4 linked regions of the Saccharomyces cerevisiae S288C genome follow. The protein of the gene in region 2 binds, or shares a complex with, the protein of the main gene of each other region. Each region holds a gene or a part of one and is shown on either strand. Other genes may lie near its edges.

Region 1 (6,007 bases), on a different chromosome or scaffold from region 2:
TTCATCGAGGCCATTGAAGTGACCACATTTTAAATTTTCTTTGTAAGTACTGTTGGTCTGTAGATCAATGTCAAGCTTGTCTTGAATGAACTCGAATAAGATTTTCATGAGTATAAATCAGTTTTTTTTTTTTTTTTTTTTTTTTTAATTTTTCACTTTTCTATTTCACTTGTGTCATTCATTGCCATGCTTTACTTTTTTTCATTCCTAAATGCGAATCACCAATAGCTCATCTAAAGGTATATATTATTCAAACCTCAGAAGGATAATATTCATGAGGGCGTGTTAGTTATGGTTAAGAAAGTTAATAATCCGCTAAAAATCGATTATCAGAACGGGATAATAGAAAATCGGCTTCTGCAAATTAGAAATTTCAAAGATGTAAATACGCCCAAACTAAGTATGTATCTATGAGATCTAACAGAAATCAGGATCAATTAACTAACTTTCAAACATATATAAGTGCAGTCAATGTATGGAGTATAAGAATAGATCCAAGAGACTCGAAGAAAGTAATAGAGTATGTATATGATTTTTGCTTTTGTATTCATGGAAGTAAACTAACTAGTAAAGTAGGCTAATTCGAAACGATTTTCAGAAAAATGACCCTGTTTCATTGAGACATTTGAAAAGGATCCGCAAGGACATCGAGACCTCCACCTTGGAAGTGGTGTTGTGTTCGAAAGAGTATATTTGCGACGAAGGTGAAATAAACAATAAATTGAAGAGTATTTGGGTTGGAACGAAAAAGTATGAACTGAGTGATGATATCGAAGTGCCTGAGTTTGCGCCCAGCACAAAGGAACTGAACAATGCCTGGTCTGTGAAGTACTGGCCGTTGATTTGGAACGGCAACCCCAATGATCAAATATTGAACGACTATAAAATAGACATGCAGGAAGTACGAAATGAGCTATCGCGTGCGTCGACGTTGTCTGTGAAGATGGCAACGGCAGGAAAACAGTTTCCAATGGTGAGCGTCTTTGTTGACCCATCAAGAAAGAAGGACAAAGTGGTGGCAGAAGATGGCAGAAACTGCGAAAACTCGCTACCCATCGACCACAGTGTAATGGTGGGCATCCGTGCGGTAGGCGAAAGACTCAGGGAGGGTGTAGACGAAGACGCAAACTCTTATCTGTGTCTTGATTACGACGTCTATTTGACCCATGAGCCGTGCTCAATGTGCTCCATGGCCCTGATCCATTCTCGTGTGAGACGAGTGGTCTTCCTTACAGAGATGCAGCGCACCGGGAGCTTAAAATTAACGAGTGGTGACGGGTACTGCATGAACGATAACAAACAGCTAAACTCAACATACGAAGCCTTTCAATGGATCGGCGAGGAATATCCTGTGGGGCAGGTTGACCGGGATGTCTGCTGCTAGTTTTCCTCTAATAGATTAATATAAGATTGTATAATTTGTAATAGGCCAGGAATGGCATTGTCTCCTGCACTCGGTGAGCGAACCATATTTTCAAATTCTGCTAGTTCCGAGGTCTTTTCCTGAATAGCATCATCCAGAATCTGCAAACGCTGTTGCAACAGGTCATTAATCTTGTACAGCGCGTCGATCAGTGTCTCGAGGCTAAGGGAGTGTGATAGTTGCTCGCTTTCCAGAAATCGCAGTAATCTAGAGCGCAACGTTATGAAAAACTGCTTGATTCGTGCTTCTAACTCAGAGGTCACTCGCGCATCCCTGGCCTGAAGCAATTCGTACCAATGTTGCAGTTGTTGCTCGTCGCTCGTGTACGACTGTAGTTGCTGCTTGAACTCTTGAAAACTTATCAGAGTAGTGAGTAGCGAATCCGAAACATAGTTATGCAGCAGCTGTTCAGAGTTCATTTATAATGGTAATTTCAAAGCAAGATTGGGAGCACAATTGTCAAATCTATGATTATTTTGTTGCGTTATACCCAGCTTTTGGGCTTTTTCGAGAACGATCTTCGTTGTTTTTCGCTGTTTCTCCGCGAAGCGGGCAGCGGCGACGGTAATATTGGCTGTTAATCTATTGTTATCTTGTAGTTGTACAAGATCATTCCTTTAATTCTATATATTAACTGTTCGTGGCGTAACAAGAAATCGATTCTGACATCAAATGGAAGACATCAGCAGTTACACTAGTGGTGCAGGAAAGGCACCGCAAGGGAGTGCAAGAAGCTGTGAGAAACAACTTTATATAACTTGCTGCTTGATAATTGTGACAGAATATTCTCGCACCTTGCAAACATATATAGCAGCACCTCTAGATTTCTCCTTCCTTCCTTTCGTAAAAAGGAACCACCTGGGCGGCTAATTTAGTATTTTCGTCTTTTATGATCTACGTGTGTAATGATATGGTGGGGGCGTGTTTTCGCTTCCCATTTTTTGCCATTTTTTGTCTCGGTTTTAGGAATTGCGTTTTGTGTTGTTTTGTGTATTAAGTTAAAATCTCTCGAGGAAAGCAGATCAAGAAAATATCAAATCCAGGATCACACGACAACTGAACGATTACATCGGCCTATAATACGTTGCCATGAGTTTAAAGGAGGAACAAGTGTCCATTAAGCAGGACCCGGAACAAGAAGAGCGTCAGCATGATCAATTCAATGATGTTCAGATCAAACAAGAGTCGCAGGATCATGATGGAGTGGACTCGCAGTACACGAACGGTACGCAAAATGACGACAGCGAGAGATTTGAGGCAGCTGAATCCGATGTAAAGGTGGAACCCGGCCTCGGTATGGGCATCACCTCCTCTCAGAGCGAAAAGGGTCAAGTTCTGCCTGACCAACCGGAGATTAAGTTCATTCGTCGTCAAATCAATGGTTATGTAGGGTTTGCTAATTTGCCCAAGCAATGGCACAGAAGGTCCATAAAGAACGGATTCAGTTTCAATCTCCTATGTGTCGGCCCTGATGGTATTGGTAAGACAACTTTAATGAAAACTTTATTTAATAATGATGATATTGAGGCCAATTTAGTGAAAGATTACGAGGAGGAACTTGCAAATGATCAGGAAGAAGAGGAGGGTCAGGGCGAGGGTCACGAGAACCAATCACAAGAACAAAGGCACAAGGTCAAAATTAAGTCATATGAGTCGGTTATTGAAGAAAATGGTGTTAAACTGAATTTGAACGTGATCGATACTGAAGGATTTGGTGATTTTTTAAATAATGATCAAAAATCATGGGACCCGATCATTAAGGAGATTGACTCTCGTTTTGATCAATACTTGGATGCGGAGAACAAAATCAACAGACATTCAATAAACGATAAAAGAATCCATGCATGTCTTTATTTCATTGAACCTACAGGACATTACTTAAAGCCCCTGGACCTGAAGTTTATGCAATCTGTATATGAAAAATGTAACTTGATTCCTGTCATTGCTAAATCTGACATCTTAACTGATGAAGAGATCTTAAGTTTCAAGAAGACCATTATGAACCAGTTAATCCAATCTAATATCGAGCTGTTCAAGCCTCCAATTTATTCCAACGATGATGCAGAAAATAGCCATTTATCCGAAAGACTATTTAGTAGTTTACCTTATGCTGTTATTGGTTCCAACGATATTGTAGAGAACTACAGTGGTAATCAAGTGAGAGGCCGTTCCTATCCATGGGGGGTGATCGAAGTGGACAATGACAACCACTCTGATTTCAACCTTTTGAAAAATTTATTGATCAAGCAATTCATGGAGGAATTAAAGGAAAGGACAAGCAAGATACTATACGAAAACTACAGGTCTTCTAAATTGGCAAAACTTGGTATTAAGCAAGATAATTCAGTTTTCAAAGAGTTCGATCCAATATCTAAACAACAAGAAGAAAAAACTTTACATGAGGCAAAACTAGCCAAACTAGAAATTGAAATGAAAACAGTTTTCCAACAAAAAGTTTCCGAAAAGGAGAAAAAACTACAAAAATCAGAAACTGAATTGTTTGCTAGACATAAAGAAATGAAGGAAAAATTAACTAAACAATTAAAAGCTTTGGAGGACAAGAAAAAACAGCTAGAACTTTCAATAAATAGTGCTTCTCCCAATGTTAACCACTCCCCCGTCCCTACAAAGAAGAAGGGATTTTTACGTTAGCGAAATAAAGACATATAAAAATTTCAAACATACACTATTAAATATTATTACTATTAATATATAAAACGCGAGACGCGTAAAATAAAAAGAAGAAGGGTAAATAGAAAAAAATGGAAATGAAGAAAAACAGAGTTATTCAACTAAATATCTGTTATGATTTGAATCGCAGAATATAAAATTAAAACAGTAAAGTAAAAGAATATCATAATGTGGCCATAACGAAATAAAAAGAATGATTAGCTCAGAATTAACGAATGATCAAATCATAGACCTTATATCGGATTATAAGAATTTCAAAAGAATTATAGAGGCCTCTGTACCAGAAGATGATAGAAGAAGGAACCAAAACCGCCAAAATAGAAATAAAGACCTGACAAAATTGTCGAATGTACAATTTTGGCAACTGACGACTGATGTCAACGATGAATTGATGAAAAGATTGACAGATTCGGGTGCGGATGCATCACTAAATGATCTTGATCTGAAAAGAGGTAAAGCACAATCTAAACTGTCTCGATTGAAGGACGCGAAGTTCCATAAATTGATTCTTGATATTTTCACGGAAATTGAAAGGAGAAACTTACATCATTTGGATATGGGGACGCATAACAATGGGTTAGACGAGGGTGATCTAAATTTCTATTTAAATGACACATTATTTGAATCCTTCAAAATAAACGATGATTTTATGAGCGTGAATGGTATTATATCCATTGAAGTCTTCCGAGAATTAAAAACTCAATTTACACTTTATTTTCAAAACACGCTCCATCGAATTGATCCTGTGGATACCACCACCACACGCCTGCCGATTCTGCTTGAGACTATAATTAAGATAGCAAAGTTGATAGGCGATCTCTTACCTGTCCTATCATCAGTTTCACTGCAAAGTTCTTTAGAAAACGAAATAGTATACTTAAAGAGTGCTTTATCTCATGCTATCACTTCAACAAGATATTTTCTCACATATGGGGACCTAATACCACGAATTGTAGCTCAATCATCTATTTCGGAAGTGATTTTTGCGTTCTGCAATATTGCTCAGATTGTGAAGATCAAATCCACCTCACGTGATGATATATCACGCAATGAAGGAGAACTCAGTGATATCGAGGCAGGTATGAAACCGTTGAAGATTATTGAAAAAGTGAAAAATGAGAAAAACGGTAAGGATATATCATCTCTGGGTGATAGCGGTAGTACTGCTGTTAGTTTTCCATCCTCTGGTAAGCCCATTACAAAAAAATCGGACATGCCAGTGGTTGTAGCATCGCCATCAATTTCCATCATAGAAAAATCTGAATCTTCTATTCGAGAGAGTGGGAAGGTACGAAATAATACATCTGGAGAAACAAACTTAGCGTCTGTGTCGCCGTTAAAAAACACTAAGAATTCTTCAAGAATTACGAGTGAGCCATCTCCGCGAGAAGGTTTGCCTCTGAAAGTTGTCTCGAACTCGAGAAGTCCAAGTCCTCAAGGTAACACATTGCCGCTAATTGGTAAATTTCGGCAGGATTATCAGGCATCACCTCCGAAGAAAGTTATCACTAAACCAGTGGCAGAAACGGCGAAGCCGTATGCAAATATTCCGCCAGCTGCAGACGTACTTTACTCGCCAACCGTGACCAAAATGAGGAAATTCAGAGAGAAAGTGCAGAAATTTGCTCCCAACTCTGGTCTTGGATTAAGAATATCTACTTCAGAAGAAAACTTGAATAATTCTGATGTCAACTCAACCACGCACAACGCTAACATAAATAACCTCGTCGAATTTGTTGAGAGTAAATCAATGGTTGTTCTTCCTATGGCAGGCAGGGCATTTTGAATGATGTTCAAGCCTCTAAATCAAAATTGTTCAAGTCCGCAAGATCAGTTTCGAGATTATGTCAAAATTCCATCGAGATTATTCCTATTTTGGAATCGGTGATTGAT
Region 2 (5,749 bases):
TATATATAAATATATGTATGTATGTATGTATATTCACTTGAATATGAGATGAAATAGCACAGTTTTCAAGCATTTCCAGTCTTACGTATTCTATGATATACTACATACTCTCGCGCGAGTGAATGTTTTAGCGATGGGACAAGAAAGTTGAGATGATCTGGACGATGAGAATGGCAAAATAAGCGAGAGCTACAGCAAGAACTACAGATTGCACTTTTTGCATATACCCTGAATAGGAATTTCTTTGCTAAATATTTGGTAATTTGTTATCCATATTTACTGATATCGTGCTTCTTACGACGAATTTATAGCTTTAATCATATTCTCTTCTCTTCTATTTTCATGCCATATCATCAAGAAAATGACACCTACAAACCAATCTAGTGGAACGACTAATGCATCTGTGGAGGTACTTTCAGAGGATGGACCTATGCCAATAAACGTTATGATGCAAGAAGGTGTGAAAGCGCTGACTAAAATTCTTTCCAATCAGCTTCAAGACAGACAAGCTTTTCAAAACGCTCCTCATGCAATGCAATTCGTTATAAGAAATGGAGGAAAAGCTTTATCAAATGCACGGTTAGAAGAGCTCAAAGATGCTCTTCCTAAGATGGACTCGTTGAGTTTGGAAGATGAACTTGCGAAAATAGATGGCCAAAGTGCATACCACATTGATTCCGCAGAGGAAAAGGAAACCTTTGAAAGTAAAATAGGCCAAATAGCTTCTAGAAATAGTGCAGACTTCATAATAGAGGAGGACTTGCAAAATATTTTAGATGATGATCTTAAAGACTCAGAACTTAACTTGGATGGCGAAGAAGCCGAAATAATTTTCGATTATGAGAGCCAAGAACTGGATACACCGGATGGTATAGGGGAAAAGATTTCTCAAATGATAGAATCGGTGTTACCGGGAGGGTTTGGAAGTGAAGAACAGGGGGGGTTGCGAACTGTAACAAATGTAGAGGATTTAGATGTTGCAGAAGAAGTCACAGATATCGATCATGATACCGTTGACGCAGCTCGTTTGCATGGAGACGGTCAACATTCCATATCTTCTAGAAAGCACAGCAGGTCAAAGAACTCGAAAAAGAATGGGCATGTAAGGCGACATGACTTTTATGACGAATCTAGAGACCATAAAAGTTGTTGCCCGCATCATCATTATGAAAACTTATCCAAACTACGAAACTACTATTATCATGATTTTGAATATATTTCCAGAACGGAAAACCGTGTTCCAGATTTCTCTGTCCTAGTTAACGAATCAAGTCCCATGTGTTTATTTTGCGAGTACTACATGGTGTTTGGTGAACCACCACGTAACATGATAAAGTGGTATAATCGTACGTTTGGTTACAATCGTATGCCGAATCCACCAAGAGATGAACAAGATAGTAGGAAAAGGAATAGATAGTCAACATTATTACTGTAGGAATAAAGTAGTATAGGGAACATTACATAATAGAGGAAAACTTGTGAGGAAAACTTGTGACATTCTAAACGTATTTAAGAGTTATTGAAAAATTAATGGTGTACGACAATATTTCTCTTTGAATATTTATATGCTTCTTAGCGGTATTATGACTAAATAGTAACAGGAAAAAACACAAGTAAATGCAAATGGGTTTACATCAGTAATCCTGCCGGTCCATTTAGCATATATGTGGTCGAGCTGCCCCATGCGGTGTGGCGTTTCTCCTTTCTTGATTCATATTCATGTAATAGCATGCACATGCAAGTAAGTATCTGACTATCCCACGGCACATTTTCAATGATATTAGAGCCCATTTCAGTATAATTGGTAGATGTTAAACTAGAGCCATCATCAAACGAATCAGTTTCTTGTAAGTACAAGGTAGCTACTCTCAAAGTTCTTTTTTTCGGTATGACACTAACTTTATCATCTGTGTATCTGGCCCATACTGGGAGATAACCCAGCGGTCTTGTGGGACGGGAACGGCTGTAAGAATCAAACTCTTCAATAGTTTGTTGGTTCATGTAGGATGCCATCGTATCATCGAGTACAAGTAGGTTGATGCTATTTGAGCCAAAAGGTGAAGCTAAACTAGTTGTCCCGTACCAACGAAGATTTAATCCATGAATTGCCGTATCCGCATTTTTCCTTTGATTGTAATTAATCATGGGGATATGAACATCAGGTTCATCTTTTCTATGAAATATAAAATCGTGCTCTACCCTGCTCGAAAAATTATGGCTTTCCATTTTTTTTAGAATAGTGCAGAATTCATATTTATATATGGAGACATTTTCGTTTATTCGAGAGACCACTTCTGAGTTTAATGGAGGTTTATCGCATTGGGAGTCTATCATAACGTATTTATATATCCTCATTACCGGTGTATTTTGATCACTGAAAAGCGACTTGACCAGGTTTAAAGAAATGGCGTGAAATAGGGGAAGTCCTAGACCCCTCTTTGGATCAATGTTATCGAGCTTCCTCTTGTTGTGTAAAAATAGCTGGAGAGATTCTTCACTGGGGAATGCAAAAAACCCTCGTTGTAGTAGCACCGAAACGAATGGCATGGCTCTTTCTGACGTGAATCTTGGGGCTCTGTTAACATAACCCTGTCTTTGTAGGTCTCCAATTGTTGAGCCTTCTGATACCGCTGTATTCAAAGTAGCTGCATCCGCACTATCATCGCCCTCGTTGGCAGAGGTTTCCAGAGATTCATTTTCTCGTGCAAATATTGTAGATTGGTCGTCTCCATAACCATTAGCTCCCAAGAGATTGACGGTGGATGGAGACCCACTGTGAGGATACGGAGGATGTTGGCGATTATGTCGGCGTCCCCGGCGATTTCCAATCAAAGAGCGTACTCTATCCATGCGGATCTTTGGCAAATGTATGTAGCACTTCTCCTATCGTTCAATTTGATGCTCTTTCTTTTCCAAAAGCCTTACTTGTTCTTCTTCTTCACTAGTAGTGAAGGGCTTTAGAGATGCCCAGAACCCAGACCATTTTAGACGCGTTATGAAATAAATATTGCGCTGAAAATTCAAACTTCATAATAAACAAAAATCATTAATAGTTTTGTAATTTGATTTACTGTTATGGTGATGCTATGTTAGTGTGAAATAGAACAACAGAAACGATGGGCTTGGACCAGGACAAGATAAAGAAGAGGCTTTCTCAAATAGAGATAGATATCAACCAGATGAACCAGATGATTGACGAAAATTTACAATTAGTTGAACCTGCGGAGGACGAAGCTGTCGAAGATAATGTCAAGGATACGGGTGTGGTCGACGCTGTAAAGGTGGCAGAAACGGCTCTTTTTAGTGGCAATGATGGAGCGGATAGTAACCCAGGAGATTCAGCTCAGGTTGAAGAGCACAAAACCGCACAGGTCCATATTCCCACTGAGAATGAAGCGAATAAGAGTACGGATGACCCATCCCAGCTATCGGTTACTCAACCTTTTATAGCGAAAGAGCAGATAACTCACACCGCCATTGCTATTGGTGACTCCTATAATTCATTTGTCGCAAATTCCGCTGGAAATGAAAAGGCAAAGGACTCCTGCACTGAGAACAAAGAAGATGGTACAGTCAATATAGATCAAAACAGGGGTGAAGCTGATGTTGAAATTATCGAAAATAATGATGATGAATGGGAGGATGAAAAATCGGATGTTGAAGAGGGGCGAGTAGATAAGGGAACAGAGGAAAACAGTGAGATTGAATCTTTCAAATCACCCATGCCCCAGAATAACACCTTGGGCGGTGAGAACAAGTTAGACGCTGAACTTGTATTAGACAAATTTTCTTCCGCTAATAAGGATCTAGATATACAACCGCAAACCATAGTTGTAGGAGGTGACAATGAATACAACCATGAGAGCAGCCGTTTAGCTGATCAAACACCCCATGACGATAATTCAGAGAATTGTCCCAATCGCTCTGGAGGAAGCACTCCCTTAGATTCTCAAACTAAAATTTTTATCCCTAAAAAGAATTCTAAAGAAGATGGTACCAATATAAATCACTTTAATTCAGATGGTGATGGACAGAAAAAAATGGCGAATTTCGAGACACGACGCCCTACAAATCCGTTCAGAGTTATCTCGGTGAGCAGCAATTCCAATTCAAGAAACGGAAGTCGTAAATCTTCACTAAATAAGTATGATTCGCCAGTCTCCTCTCCTATCACATCAGCGTCTGAGCTGGGCAGTATTGCCAAGCTGGAAAAAAGACATGATTATTTATCCATGAAATGCATTAAGTTACAAAAGGAAATTGACTATCTAAACAAGATGAATGCACAGGGTTCTTTATCTATGGAAGACGGAAAGAGACTACATAGAGCCGTAGTGAAGCTTCAAGAATATCTTGACAAGAAAACGAAGGAGAAATATGAGGTCGGAGTGTTATTAAGTAGACATCTGAGAAAGCAAATTGATCGTGGCGAAAATGGCCAATTTTGGATTGGAACTAAATGATTACATTACGCCAAGGGTTGTTATAAATATTTATAAATTAAGACAGATATATAAAGTTAAAATAAATACCAAAAGAACATAGACAATCGTAAGAGAATAAGAATCCTTTATCCTAGAGCCATCCATCTGTTATTTTTGATGTTGCTGACTTTTTTTCTGATAAATTCTATTATTTTAATAGTAAAGAGGTGAGTATTTCGCCTAAACGTAAACAAAACGATAATAAAAAAAAAAAAAAATGAAGACAAAATGTTCAGATAGTCAATTATATTGTAATAACATGAAACGGAACAATAACAGTACCCAGAATTCAATTTCAATGGCGTTGTGTCTTCTTTTCTCTAAGAACTTTCATAAACCAAGTCGTACTTAACCGCGCTAGCGATAACCCTGCTAACTTTGTCGCAGAGGGAAAAAAGTAGAATCGAAGGGAAAAATCACGAAAATTAACTGGGCTGAATAGAATGAATTCAGTCATACGGTGATGGTTTTCGAAACAAACTGCACATTTTTCCAGTTAAAAGGACCAAGTTTGGTTACTGATACGTGAGACTAATTTGTTCTCCAGAAACACAATAATTTGGTGCTACATTGCCAACGCTCAGGAGTGGTTTTAAGCTCAGAAAAGTTACTACCAAAGGGGTTCAACGTAAAAGTGAATTGTGTTTTCTTATCGAGAAAAACTCTTTTATTATTCAAGTGAGTTTTCCACTTATTAGATTCCTATCTTTTTACCGATCTCTATTATTTGATAAGTTCCTTAATCAATTCGTGGATTTTTATTTTTATTTCATTCTTTTCATTTCAATTTCTGCATTCCAAATACACCTGCCCAGTCTCTAGACCCTGCTTAATCATTATGTCAAGCGAGGAACGCTCGAGACAACCAAGTACTGTTTCAACTTTCGATTTAGAACCCAATCCTTTTGAACAAAGCTTCGCCTCTTCCAAGAAGGCTTTGTCACTTCCAGGCACGATCTCCCATCCGTCTCTACCAAAAGAGCTTTCACGAAACAATTCTACCTCAACGATAACACAACATTCCCAACGTTCCACTCATAGTTTGAACAGTATTCCAGAAGAAAATGGGAATTCAACCGTTACAGATAATAGTAATCATAATGACGTAAAAAAAGACTCACCTAGTTTTTTACCAGGCCAACAAAGACCTACTATAATATCTCCGCCTATTCTCACACCTGGTGGGTCGAAAAGATTACCACCTCTACTCCTTTCTCCCTCTATTTTATATCAGGCAAATTCAACTACGAATCCCAGTCAGAATT
Region 3 (5,729 bases), on a different chromosome or scaffold from region 2:
CAGTGCGTCAAACAGCAATGATAGCACTAGCCATAGTAATGATTGCGGTGCCACAATTACCAGAACAAGACCTAGACGAAGCAGTTCTATCAATGCAAACTTTAGTTTTCAAAAGGCTCATGTCAGCGATTGCACCATAGTCAATGGCGACCATGGAACAAAGTTTGCTGTCTGGAGAATTACCGTATTTCTTGAACCCAACTTGAAGGCTTTTGCGGCCAAGAGGGAAAGCTATAAAATCCAAACCTATAAACGATACTCCGATTTCGTCAGATTACGAGAGAATTTGCTCACAAGAATCAAGACAGCGAAACCTGAGAAACTTAACTGTTTGCAGATTCCACACCTTCCCCCTTCAGTGCAGTGGTACAGTTCTTGGAAATATCAAGAAGTGAATCTGAACAAGGACTGGCTGGCAAAAAGACAGAGAGGGCTCGAGTACTTCCTCAATCACATCATCCTTAACAGCAGCCTCGTAGAAATGACCAAAGATATACTCATACAGTTTCTAGAGCCTTCAAAACGAGTTGCATAGCTCACCATCCCTATCCAACCGACTATTCTTCTCATCGACTACTACTATCCCATTTAACTCGGGCGCGTTGTTAATTAATCACTCGATGGGGAATGCCTTGAGCTGACCGCAATGAAAACTTTTAGGGGATCGTCCAACATTAAAGGAAGAACGAAACGGACTCCACAGTTTCTAATATAAATAAACAATGATAAAACATATAGTTTCGCCATTCAGGACGAATTTTGTTGGCATCAGCAAGTCCGTGCTGTCAAGGATGATTCATCACAAGGTTACAATCATAGGTTCTGGCCCCGCTGCCCACACCGCTGCTATATACTTGGCAAGAGCAGAGATGAAGCCCACATTATATGAGGGAATGATGGCCAACGGAATTGCTGCTGGTGGCCAATTGACAACAACCACCGATATCGAAAATTTCCCAGGGTTTCCTGAATCGTTGAGTGGCAGTGAACTGATGGAGAGGATGAGGAAACAATCTGCCAAGTTTGGCACTAACATAATTACCGAGACTGTCTCTAAAGTCGATTTATCTTCAAAACCATTCAGATTATGGACCGAATTTAATGAGGATGCAGAGCCTGTGACCACTGATGCTATAATCTTGGCCACGGGTGCTTCCGCTAAGAGAATGCATTTACCAGGGGAGGAAACCTACTGGCAGCAGGGAATATCTGCCTGTGCTGTATGTGATGGTGCAGTCCCTATCTTTAGAAACAAGCCATTGGCCGTTATTGGTGGTGGTGACTCTGCGTGTGAGGAAGCGGAATTTCTTACGAAGTATGCGTCGAAAGTATATATATTAGTAAGAAAGGATCATTTTCGTGCATCTGTAATAATGCAGAGACGAATTGAGAAAAATCCAAACATCATTGTTTTGTTCAACACAGTTGCATTAGAAGCTAAGGGTGATGGTAAGTTATTGAATATGTTGAGAATTAAGAATACTAAAAGTAATGTGGAGAACGATTTAGAAGTAAATGGACTATTTTACGCAATAGGTCACAGCCCTGCCACAGATATAGTTAAAGGACAAGTAGATGAAGAAGAGACGGGGTATATAAAAACTGTGCCTGGATCGTCTCTGACTTCTGTGCCAGGTTTTTTTGCTGCAGGTGACGTTCAGGACTCTAGGTATAGACAAGCAGTTACTTCTGCTGGTTCCGGATGCATTGCTGCTTTGGATGCAGAACGGTACCTAAGTGCCCAAGAGTAACGTGAAAAAACCGGTTTATTTTTGTTTTTACTGTTCGATTGTGTTACGTATTCTATGTTTTTTGAGATATATTTGAAATATTTTTATAAGATACATATATATATGTGCGTATTGCTGCGACAAAAGAAGAGACAAAGAGATAGGCGTTGAAATTGACGAGACAAAGAGGAAGACATTAATTAATCATCATTTTAAATGGGATTTTTTTACTTGCAAGCTTTTGACCTGCTCTTCTAGTTTTTTTACCTTTCCTTGAATTTCTTCCAAGTCACCGTTCAGTCTGATTCTTTCGTTAACAATGTTTTGCTCCCATTGTCTAAATCTTTGCTCCTCAGCTTTGACTTGGTCAGTGAAATACTTCTTCAATGCATTTTCTTCTTCTTTGTATCTAGGATTGTGTGACAATTTCCTTGCTGGTGCAATTGCTGGAAGAGTGAAATCTTCATTCCCCTCCCCGGTGTTCTCGTGACCCTCAAGTCTTAATCTTCTGTATGTTTCGTAATGCATTTCTTGGGTGGTAGAAATCAAATCTAATAGATAAGTCCTCAGTAACAGGGCTCTGAGCTTACGGAAATCACAATGAGAATCGTTTTCGATTTCCACAAGTCCCCAAGGATACTTCCTTGCAACTACCTGAGTGCCTTGCCCATTGTCAAATTTTTTTTCAGACCCTACTATGGCAAATGGCATTGCTTCTATCAACTGTCTTGCATGTTCAACAGCGGCAGAATCTGGATTACTGCCACTTTTGGCATCTTCCTTAGAATCAGCGTCTAATGGAGGCGTGAAAATACGAATTTCTTGAGCTTCTATTACTTGCCTGATTCTGGACTTGAACTGTTGTAATTCTTGGGCAGTCAATGTATCAGCTTTCGCAATAACTGGAATCAGATTGGCTCTGGTTGACAATCTCTTCATAGTCTCAATGTCAATTGGCTTTAAACCATGTCCAGTGGGCCTGATGAAGTACAGAACGGCATGAACTCTCAAGTCAAATTTCTTAGTACGGTACGGTTGCTGCTCTTGACGCATATAAGAATCGTGTTGATCATCAATAAAATCCACCAATGGTTGCCAGGCTTTGTTGTTATTCACGTTATCTCCAAAACCTGGGGTGTCGATGACATTAACGCGTAATTCGAAATGCTTCTCTTCCAGCAAAGCTCTTGTGATGTCGATTTCTACAGTCTTTCTGATGGGTTCTTGGCGGTGTTGCTGACCATCTGCCCTTTTCAAGACAGTCTGAAATAAGGTATTAATAAATGTAGTTTTACCCAATCCGCTCTCACCACATAACATCACGGTGAATGTACCACCTTCTTCATTAACAATTTTATAACGCTGGTTGGGAAGATTGGATATCCCTACAGGAGGAGGAACAGGGGCAGCAGTCGCAGTGGCAGCACTCATTATTTGATACAATATGTGATGTAGTTCGTTATCAATACTCTTCAGGTCAAGATCCTATATCTTGCTGCACCTTTCAAGACTTTGATCTACTCAAAACAAACAATGGTGATTTCGAAAAAAATTTCGGATTCTTCACTTTTCCAGCGCCCTGTTTTTTTTCTGTAATCACGATTGCAAAAAAAAGAGACTTACCATAGGACAATTTCCATAAACAAAACAAAGAGCAACATAACTCATAGCTGAATTGCTAATCGTGATACTGCATCATGTCCCATCCGCACTCACATAGCATATATTTGTCTGAGTTGCCCGTCAGGAAACCTCAAGCCTTGGGCAATCCTCTTTTGAGGAAGATTCAAAGAGCTTGCAGAATGTCACTTGCTGAACCAGACTTGGCGTTGAATCTTGACATTGCTGACTACATTAATGAAAAACAGGGCGCTGCCCCTAGGGATGCTGCCATTGCACTTGCTAAACTGATCAACAATAGAGAATCGCACGTGGCAATATTCGCGTTATCTCTATTAGACGTGCTTGTCAAGAATTGTGGATACCCATTCCACTTGCAAATTTCTAGAAAGGAATTTTTGAATGAACTGGTCAAGAGATTTCCAGGTCACCCACCATTACGTTATTCTAAGATTCAGAGATTGATTTTAACTGCTATTGAAGAATGGTATCAAACAATTTGTAAACACTCAAGCTACAAGAATGATATGGGTTATATTAGAGACATGCACCGTTTGTTGAAATATAAGGGTTATGCATTCCCCAAAATCAGTGAATCCGACCTAGCAGTTTTGAAGCCTAGTAATCAATTGAAGACCGCTAGTGAAATTCAAAAGGAGCAGGAAATTGCTCAAGCTGCAAAACTCGAAGAATTGATCAGGCGTGGTAAACCTGAAGATTTGAGGGAAGCTAACAAATTAATGAAAATCATGGCAGGGTTCAAAGAAGACAATGCCGTTCAAGCTAAACAGGCTATTTCCAGTGAATTGAACAAATTGAAGCGTAAAGCCGATTTGCTGAATGAAATGCTGGAATCACCTGACTCACAAAACTGGGATAACGAAACTACACAAGAACTTCACAGTGCATTAAAGGTAGCTCAACCAAAATTTCAAAAGATCATTGAGGAAGAACAGGAAGACGATGCGTTAGTGCAGGATCTATTGAAGTTTAATGATACAGTTAATCAACTATTGGAAAAATTCAACTTATTGAAAAACGGTGACTCCAACGCTGCTTCGCAGATACATCCAAGTCATGTTTCTGCTCCGTTACAACAATCTTCTGGTGCTTTAACGAATGAAATCAACTTAATCGATTTCAATGATTTGGACGAAGCGCCCTCTCAAGGCAACAACAATACCAACGGCACGGGTACACCAGCAGCAGCGGAAACATCTGTCAATGACTTATTGGGCGATTTGACCGATTTATCTATTTCGAACCCTTCAACCGCTAACCAAGCATCCTTTGGTCTGGGAGGCGATATCGTGTTGGGGTCCTCTCAACCCGCACCACCAGTTACTACTACTAACAACTCGAACAACACTTTAGATCTTTTGGGACTTTCAACTCCTCAATCGCCAACTAATTCCCAAGCAGTAAACAGTAGTGGGTTCGATCTTTTGATGGGATTTAATCCAACAACAGGTACTACTACTGCGCCCGCAAGAACCCTAGTCAATCAGTCTCCTAACTTGAAGATTGAGTTCGAAATATCTAGGGAGTCAAACTCAGTTATAAGGATAAAATCGTTCTTTACAAACTTAAGTTCGTCACCGATCTCCAACTTAGTGTTCTTATTAGCAGTCCCTAAGTCAATGTCTTTGAAATTGCAACCCCAATCGAGTAACTTTATGATTGGCAACGCTAAAGATGGTATCTCTCAAGAAGGTACAATTGAAAATGCGCCAGCTAACCCTTCAAAGGCTTTGAAAGTCAAGTGGAAGGTCAACTATTCTGTCAACTCCACCCAAGCTGAAGAAACTGCTGTTTTTACGTTACCTAATGTATAATCCTCTGGCGTTTCTTATCAATCCTTTCTCTTCTCTATGTATATTTTTAGAAGGATAATACCTCTATGTAGACAATCTTATAAAGATCTTCGCAACAATACATATTTCACTTACTAATATATGTTGCGTTTTCATGCATCAAAAGTAGTTAGCAATGCTAGATCGTGTAAAGGAAAAAAAAGAGAAATAGTATAATTCGCCATCCTCATAACCACTGAAAAATCGAAGTTAACCAAAAGGAAAGTTGAAATGGAGGAAGTGTTCCGTTTTTACTCGAACTCTAGAAATATCTTCATTCATAAAAGCCTTTCATTAAAACCATCCACCATTGATGACCCCAAAAGTGGATATGGCCTTTTCGTAGAACCTTCGAAGTTCAAGAATGATGAATTGAAAAGTGAAACTATCCAATTGCTCCGAATCCCTAAGCGCTGCACGTTTAATATAAACACACTTCTGGCTCTCTTGGGAGATGAGGACGAATTTTCTTCAAAGGAAGAATTTCAAAGAACTAATGACAAAATTAAGATTGCTCTTCGTGAAA
Region 4 (5,563 bases), on a different chromosome or scaffold from region 2:
GGGCCGCTGGGGAACAGCAACGTAAAACACCTGCGCGGATGATCCAAGAGAAACCCAAGACTTTCCTTAAACTGAGATAGGTCTCTCGAGGTCTTGAACATGATCCAAATGATAAATCGTAACATAATTGGGAAGCCTGTATTGCCTATGATGATGAAGAACATCATGAAAATCAGCGGATACGGCGCAGTATCAAAGGAAACCATTGAATCAGCGGTCAAAGACAGACCCAAGTTGCTGAATGCACTCATTGCAGTGAAAAACCCCCACCAGGTTGGAGAAACTCCATTTCGTCTAATAATCTCTGAGTAGTGGTGCCTCGTACAGGCCCATGGAACGATGGTCACAAACGCCAAAATGTTGAATCCGATGTAGTATACCATGAGAATGCAGCACAGCAATCTCAAAGCACGATATTCGACACCGCCGAGTTCCTCCTTTTGTTGCTTTGTGAGTCCAATGAAGACGGAGTTTCTGCCAAAGGTTGGCTGCCACGATAGATAGTTGGTGCTCATTGTTCTGGTGAAGGGGTGGCCTATATCACCTTCACGTCGTTTTGGTTTGGGCGGGTGCGCTTGGAACTGTAAATTCAAAGACTCTTGCGGTGAAAAGCTCATCTCCTCATCAACAAAAGATGAAGGCGCCGACTTGGCCAAGTTTCTATGATTTTCAACTACTTGGCCTGAGGTTTTAGGACTCGGTGAAGCAGTATACGTTGGGATGTTACATGATTGCGTTCTAGATATTTTTTTCTTCTTGGTGACCATATATTTGTGAGGAGCACCGTCAAAGTAGTCATGGTCACCTTCATCTCTCCGCAAGCCAAGCAATTTCTGGAAACTTTTCGTCTGGGCTAGCTTGTTCAATTCCTGAGAAGATGGCAGGACAGAATGGCGTTTCAGTGAGCAGTGGGGGGCTCTTCTCTCATGACGTTCCTGCACAATGAAAGCGGGTCCATTGGTCTCGCTCGAAAAAGAATCCGTGGAGTTTGCGTTGCTCTTCTCTTGTTGTTTTTGTAGCATCATTATCGATTTGTAAATGTCTCTTGGGTCAACGTCTGAGGGTTGGCGCTTACTTGAGAAGTTTGGAGGCGAGCTTTGCGTGTCACTGGATTCCTCCTTAGAGGAGGAAACATTCAACGGTGAGATTGAGGACAATGCGGACGTGTCAGGAGAGTCCATCGGCACATCTGAAGCGGATTGTCGTGGGTCTTCTCTGGAAACAAACTTCCCACGGAACAGGTTGTCCTTGAAACTCCTACTTCGAGCGGCATTGCCACTGCTGCCCGATAGTTCCCTTTGTTGCAACGTCATGGTCCTTCTTAGTTTAAAATTCTGTTTGGAGATATCCCTAATGTTGTCGAAGTACCTTTCAAACCAATACAGCCTGACAAAGGCCAAAAACCCATGAATAAGTATAGGCGTGGACAGCAATGTAATGACGTACACCACTATCTGCTGGTACAGGTTGAAATCGTTAGTGCTCTTGGTGGCCAGCCCGCCCTGTGTAGACGCTCCAGCAGCCAGAAATAGCACATCGATGAACGCCGTGTTCTTGCACGGATATAACAGAATGGACCCGATAATCGACAGCGTGATCAGGTAGATATAGTGCACCACGATGAAGTTGGGGAAAACGTATTTAGCAATGGGTCTGCATGATTTTAAGAACCCGGAAATGAAGTCTCTTAGCCGATGGCCCCATGATTTCTTGTGCACCAACCGTAACTGGAAGGGCAGTGCCAACGAAGCCCTGGATGACGTCCTCTTAGCTGTTGGCATGAGTGGTTCTTACAGCCTCTTATCGTCGGTGAATAGTACAAAATAGCCTCTTTTCTCATCATCTGAAACCTAGTTATTCCAATATCATTTCTCTTTTTCAGCCGCACGGCCGAGGGGATTAGAAACGAAAATTCACATCTCATCCTATTCTTCGCAGGAGATCAAAAGTGAAAGAGAGAAACGGGAAACAACCATCTGAGCATGGCAGCTTGCATCAAATTATCAATCATCGTGTGATGTACCATGGCCTATTCAACGGCGGTACGCTTGTACTACAGGGCGCTTTCAGCGCATGCCGGGCACTCCCTTCTTTCTTCCGTCGTCTTGCATCTCTCTAATCCCGTCGCTATGCTCTGATATAACCGTTGCCAAAGTGTCAAGCTGTTGTGAAATTGTGCTGGAGGCATTGATGGTTCTTGAACTCTTCCTCTTTTTAGTCTGGCTTTAGCTTGATTGGGCACGGGCACTCAATGGACGGGGTATCCACCCAGCTTGGAAAGGGGCATATAAAACCAAAAGAGAACGTTAAGAAAAGTGCAAATGAAAATAACAGACCGGGAGATCGCAAACGCAAACGCAATAAATGTCGTTTTGGAAAACATTGCAGAGACAGCCACGTACCATCTCGTTGTTTACCAATGACATCGCGTCCAATATCAAGTCGCAGAAATGCCTGCAGTTGCTGAAGGGAGACGTCTCTCATCGATTCGACGTGGAAATCGCCAACCGCTTTCCCACGTGGGACCAGCTGCAATACATGAGAACTTCGTGCCCGCAAGGCCCAGTTTCGTTGCAAAGGCAGATTCCAAAGCTGGATTCAGTGCTCAAATACAAGCACACAGACCCGACGTTCGGGATGGACCTGCAGAAGTGTGTCCAGAGGGGACTTTGGAATCCAAAGGAGGCGCTTTGGGTCGACTGGGAAAACAAGTTGGTGGGAAATGAGCCCGCAGACATTGACAAGTACATCATTCAGCGCAAATAACACCTATATACCACTATATTGAACACATACATATTTTTATAACAATGGGCTATATCTTTTTTGTATTACCCGCGTAATTGGGAAAATTTTTCCTTTTAAATAGCAGCGTTTGGGATCAAAAATGGCAGTTTGATGGTAGATTAGGAGGATTTAGTGAGCCCAGTGGGACCAAGAGCAAAGCGCAAGATCATGTCAGACCCTATCAGAACGAAACCCAAGTCGTCGATGCAAATCGACAACGCCCCTACGCCTCACAATACCCCAGCATCGGTTCTGAATCCGAGCTATTTGAAAAACGGCAACCCAGTTAGGGCCCAGGCACAGGAGCAGGATGACAAGATCGGCACCATCAACGAGGAGGACATCTTGGCTAACCAACCCCTGTTGTTACAGTCCATCCAGGACAGACTTGGCTCGCTGGTGGGCCAGGACAGCGGGTATGTGGGGGGTCTTCCCAAGAACGTTAAGGAAAAGCTGCTGAGCTTGAAGACTTTACAAAGCGAGCTATTCGAAGTTGAAAAGGAATTTCAGGTGGAGATGTTTGAGCTAGAGAACAAGTTTCTGCAGAAGTACAAGCCCATTTGGGAGCAGCGGTCCAGGATCATTTCAGGACAAGAGCAACCCAAGCCGGAACAGATCGCAAAGGGCCAAGAGATTGTGGAGTCACTCAATGAGACGGAGTTGTTGGTGGACGAAGAAGAGAAGGCCCAAAATGATTCCGAGGAGGAACAGGTGAAGGGAATTCCCTCATTCTGGCTAACCGCATTAGAGAACTTGCCCATCGTTTGCGACACGATCACTGACCGCGATGCGGAAGTTCTGGAGTACCTGCAAGATATTGGTCTGGAATACTTGACGGATGGTAGACCCGGTTTCAAGCTGTTGTTCAGATTTGATTCTTCCGCCAACCCATTCTTCACCAACGACATTCTGTGCAAGACCTACTTCTACCAGAAGGAGCTCGGTTACTCCGGGGACTTTATCTACGACCACGCAGAAGGCTGCGAGATCAGTTGGAAGGACAACGCCCACAACGTCACTGTGGACCTAGAAATGCGCAAGCAGAGAAACAAGACCACCAAGCAGGTGAGGACCATCGAGAAGATCACTCCCATAGAATCCTTTTTCAACTTCTTCGACCCTCCCAAGATCCAAAACGAAGACCAAGACGAGGAGTTGGAGGAAGACCTCGAGGAACGTCTAGCTTTAGACTACTCCATCGGGGAACAACTTAAGGACAAGCTAATTCCTAGAGCCGTGGACTGGTTTACCGGCGCAGCCTTGGAATTCGAGTTCGAGGAGGACGAAGAAGAAGCGGACGAGGACGAAGACGAAGAAGAAGATGATGATCACGGCTTGGAGGATGACGACGGGGAATCTGCCGAAGAGCAAGACGATTTTGCTGGCAGGCCGGAACAGGCTCCTGAATGCAAGCAGTCATAATCCCAACGCACTTCGCAAGAGTGGTCATAACCGTATTCATATATTTATATACATATGTATACATACATATATAGATATATATATGTATATACATGTAAGTGTGTAAGCTGAAATATATGTTAAAGCGCATGTAACTAAGACGACAATAATAATAATAATAATGATAATAATAGCCTAGATTTTCTCCGCCGTGGGGGATGATCGTATTCTTTCGGATTTAATAATATAGCAGCAAGGGTTATAAAAGGAAAGATAACGGAATGTATCGGTAATCATTAACCATCACTCACTCTCCAGAACCGTAGCGTAATTATGTCTGAATCATCTATTTCTTCTTCTAAACCATCTGTGGAATTGCCACAAGCAACCTGGTCGCATCTGCAAAGATACCCAGCTTTATCCAAGTTTATTAAATATGCGGAATCTCTGCCACCTGTGGAGAGATTGATTTCCTTCAACCTCGTTGTTTTGGGATCTGTGAACCAGTGGGTTTCCGAATCGTCCAGCTCTCCTCGTCTGGTGAAGCAAGTTGTTGCTGCTGGGAAGGAAGGGGCCTTCAAGTTGGACGAGTTAGTTAACCTCTTGGTGTTCAAGGAGGGTGTCGACGGCTTGCTGTACAATTGGAAATCACATTCCAACACGCCAGGGATCTGGCTGGTGTGGTTCTTCGTCGACTACGTCGCCAACATTTCTAATACTCTGTTGAGGGAGTTCCTGATCAAGCCATTGCACTTGCAAGGTTCTACCGCATCGAAGGAGATCGGCTCTTCCGGTGAGGAGAACAAGGTCACTGATGCTTCTTCTTTGCCCCACGTGGCAGAGTTGTCTTCAACGACCAGAGGTATGTCGCAGGAGATCCAGTCCAAGGTCAAGTCGAACTATATCGACCCAACCAAGGACCTGGCTAAAGAAAAGTACGACGCCATAGTGAAGCCCACAACTGACAAGTTGCAGTCTGTGTACATCGACCCAACAAAGACTAAGCTTAACGAAACCTACCAACGCTTCACCACTGTCTATGAAAACAATCTAAGTAAATCTGAAAGCGTCCCTAAAGCCATTGTATCCACCGGGTTGGACTTGGGCAATGCCACCATTGAGAAGCTAAAGGCCTCAAGAGAAGACCAAACCAATTCTAAGCCCGCGGCTGTGTCGACCAATTAGTAATTTGGTTTTGCGCTAATCGTGCGCCTGATTTTTTTTCCTGCCACTCTTATATAGTTATTTGTTATTATTCTATTATTTCATCTATTGTTTGCTAGCTATTATGTACGTTGCTGTTTGAGCACTATATACAATTGAATACCAAAGAAAAAATTATAAAAACGAAAAAAAAAAAAAAAAAAAAAAATTT

The links.
Region 1: BNI5 (region 2) and CDC3 share a complex: the UniProt entries of both Saccharomyces cerevisiae proteins name them as parts of the GIN4 complex.
Region 3: BNI5 (region 2) and CDC12 share a complex: the UniProt entries of both Saccharomyces cerevisiae proteins name them as parts of the GIN4 complex.
Region 4: BNI5 (region 2) and NAP1 share a complex: the UniProt entries of both Saccharomyces cerevisiae proteins name them as parts of the GIN4 complex.

The regions. Positions count from the first base shown.
Region 1 is NC_001144.5:760,643-766,649, reverse strand, and holds CDC3 (septin CDC3), read left to right. Parts: upstream 1-2,512; coding exon 2,513-4,075; downstream 4,076-6,007. Other genes in the region: EST2 (telomerase reverse transcriptase), read right to left, coding at 1-108; TAD3 (Tad3p), read left to right, coding at 292-400, 469-520, 577-1,384; NKP2 (Nkp2p), read right to left, coding at 1,381-1,842; SPH1 (Sph1p), read left to right, coding at 4,308-5,900. UniProt on the Saccharomyces cerevisiae protein: Septins are GTPases involved in cytokinesis that assemble early in the cell cycle as a patch at the incipient bud site and form a ring approximate 15 minutes before bud emergence, which transforms into an hour-glass shaped collar of cortical filaments that spans both sides of the mother-bud neck.
Region 2 is NC_001146.8:320,933-326,681, reverse strand, and holds BNI5 (Bni5p), read left to right. Parts: upstream 1-3,116; coding exon 3,117-4,463; downstream 4,464-5,749. Other genes in the region: IBD2 (Ibd2p), read left to right, coding at 362-1,417; YNL165W (uncharacterized protein), read right to left, coding at 1,630-2,850; SKO1 (Sko1p), read left to right, coding at 5,323-5,749. UniProt on the Saccharomyces cerevisiae protein: Required for normal septin function and cytokinesis. Its recruitment to the bud neck by CDCd11 and SHS1 ensures efficient localization at the bud neck of MYO1, the type II myosin of the actomyosin contractile ring.
Region 3 is NC_001140.6:324,876-330,604, forward strand, and holds CDC12 (septin CDC12), read right to left. Parts: upstream 3,162-5,729; coding exon 1,938-3,161; downstream 1-1,937. Other genes in the region: YPT35 (Ypt35p), read left to right, coding at 1-535; thioredoxin-disulfide reductase TRR2, read left to right, coding at 723-1,751; GGA2 (phosphatidylinositol 4-phosphate-binding protein), read left to right, coding at 3,428-5,185; CTM1 (cytochrome c lysine N-methyltransferase), read left to right, coding at 5,435-5,729. UniProt on the Saccharomyces cerevisiae protein: Septins are GTPases involved in cytokinesis that assemble early in the cell cycle as a patch at the incipient bud site and form a ring approximate 15 minutes before bud emergence, which transforms into an hour-glass shaped collar of cortical filaments that spans both sides of the mother-bud neck.
Region 4 is NC_001143.9:524,033-529,595, reverse strand, and holds NAP1 (histone chaperone NAP1), read left to right. Parts: upstream 1-2,955; coding exon 2,956-4,209; downstream 4,210-5,563. Other genes in the region: TRK2 (Trk2p), read right to left, coding at 1-1,781; FMP46 (putative redox protein), read left to right, coding at 2,365-2,766; PLN1 (Pln1p), read left to right, coding at 4,522-5,373. UniProt on the Saccharomyces cerevisiae protein: Acidic protein, which assembles histones into an octamer (in vitro). Involved in the regulation of the localization and the function of the septins during mitosis. Involved in the function of B-type cyclins.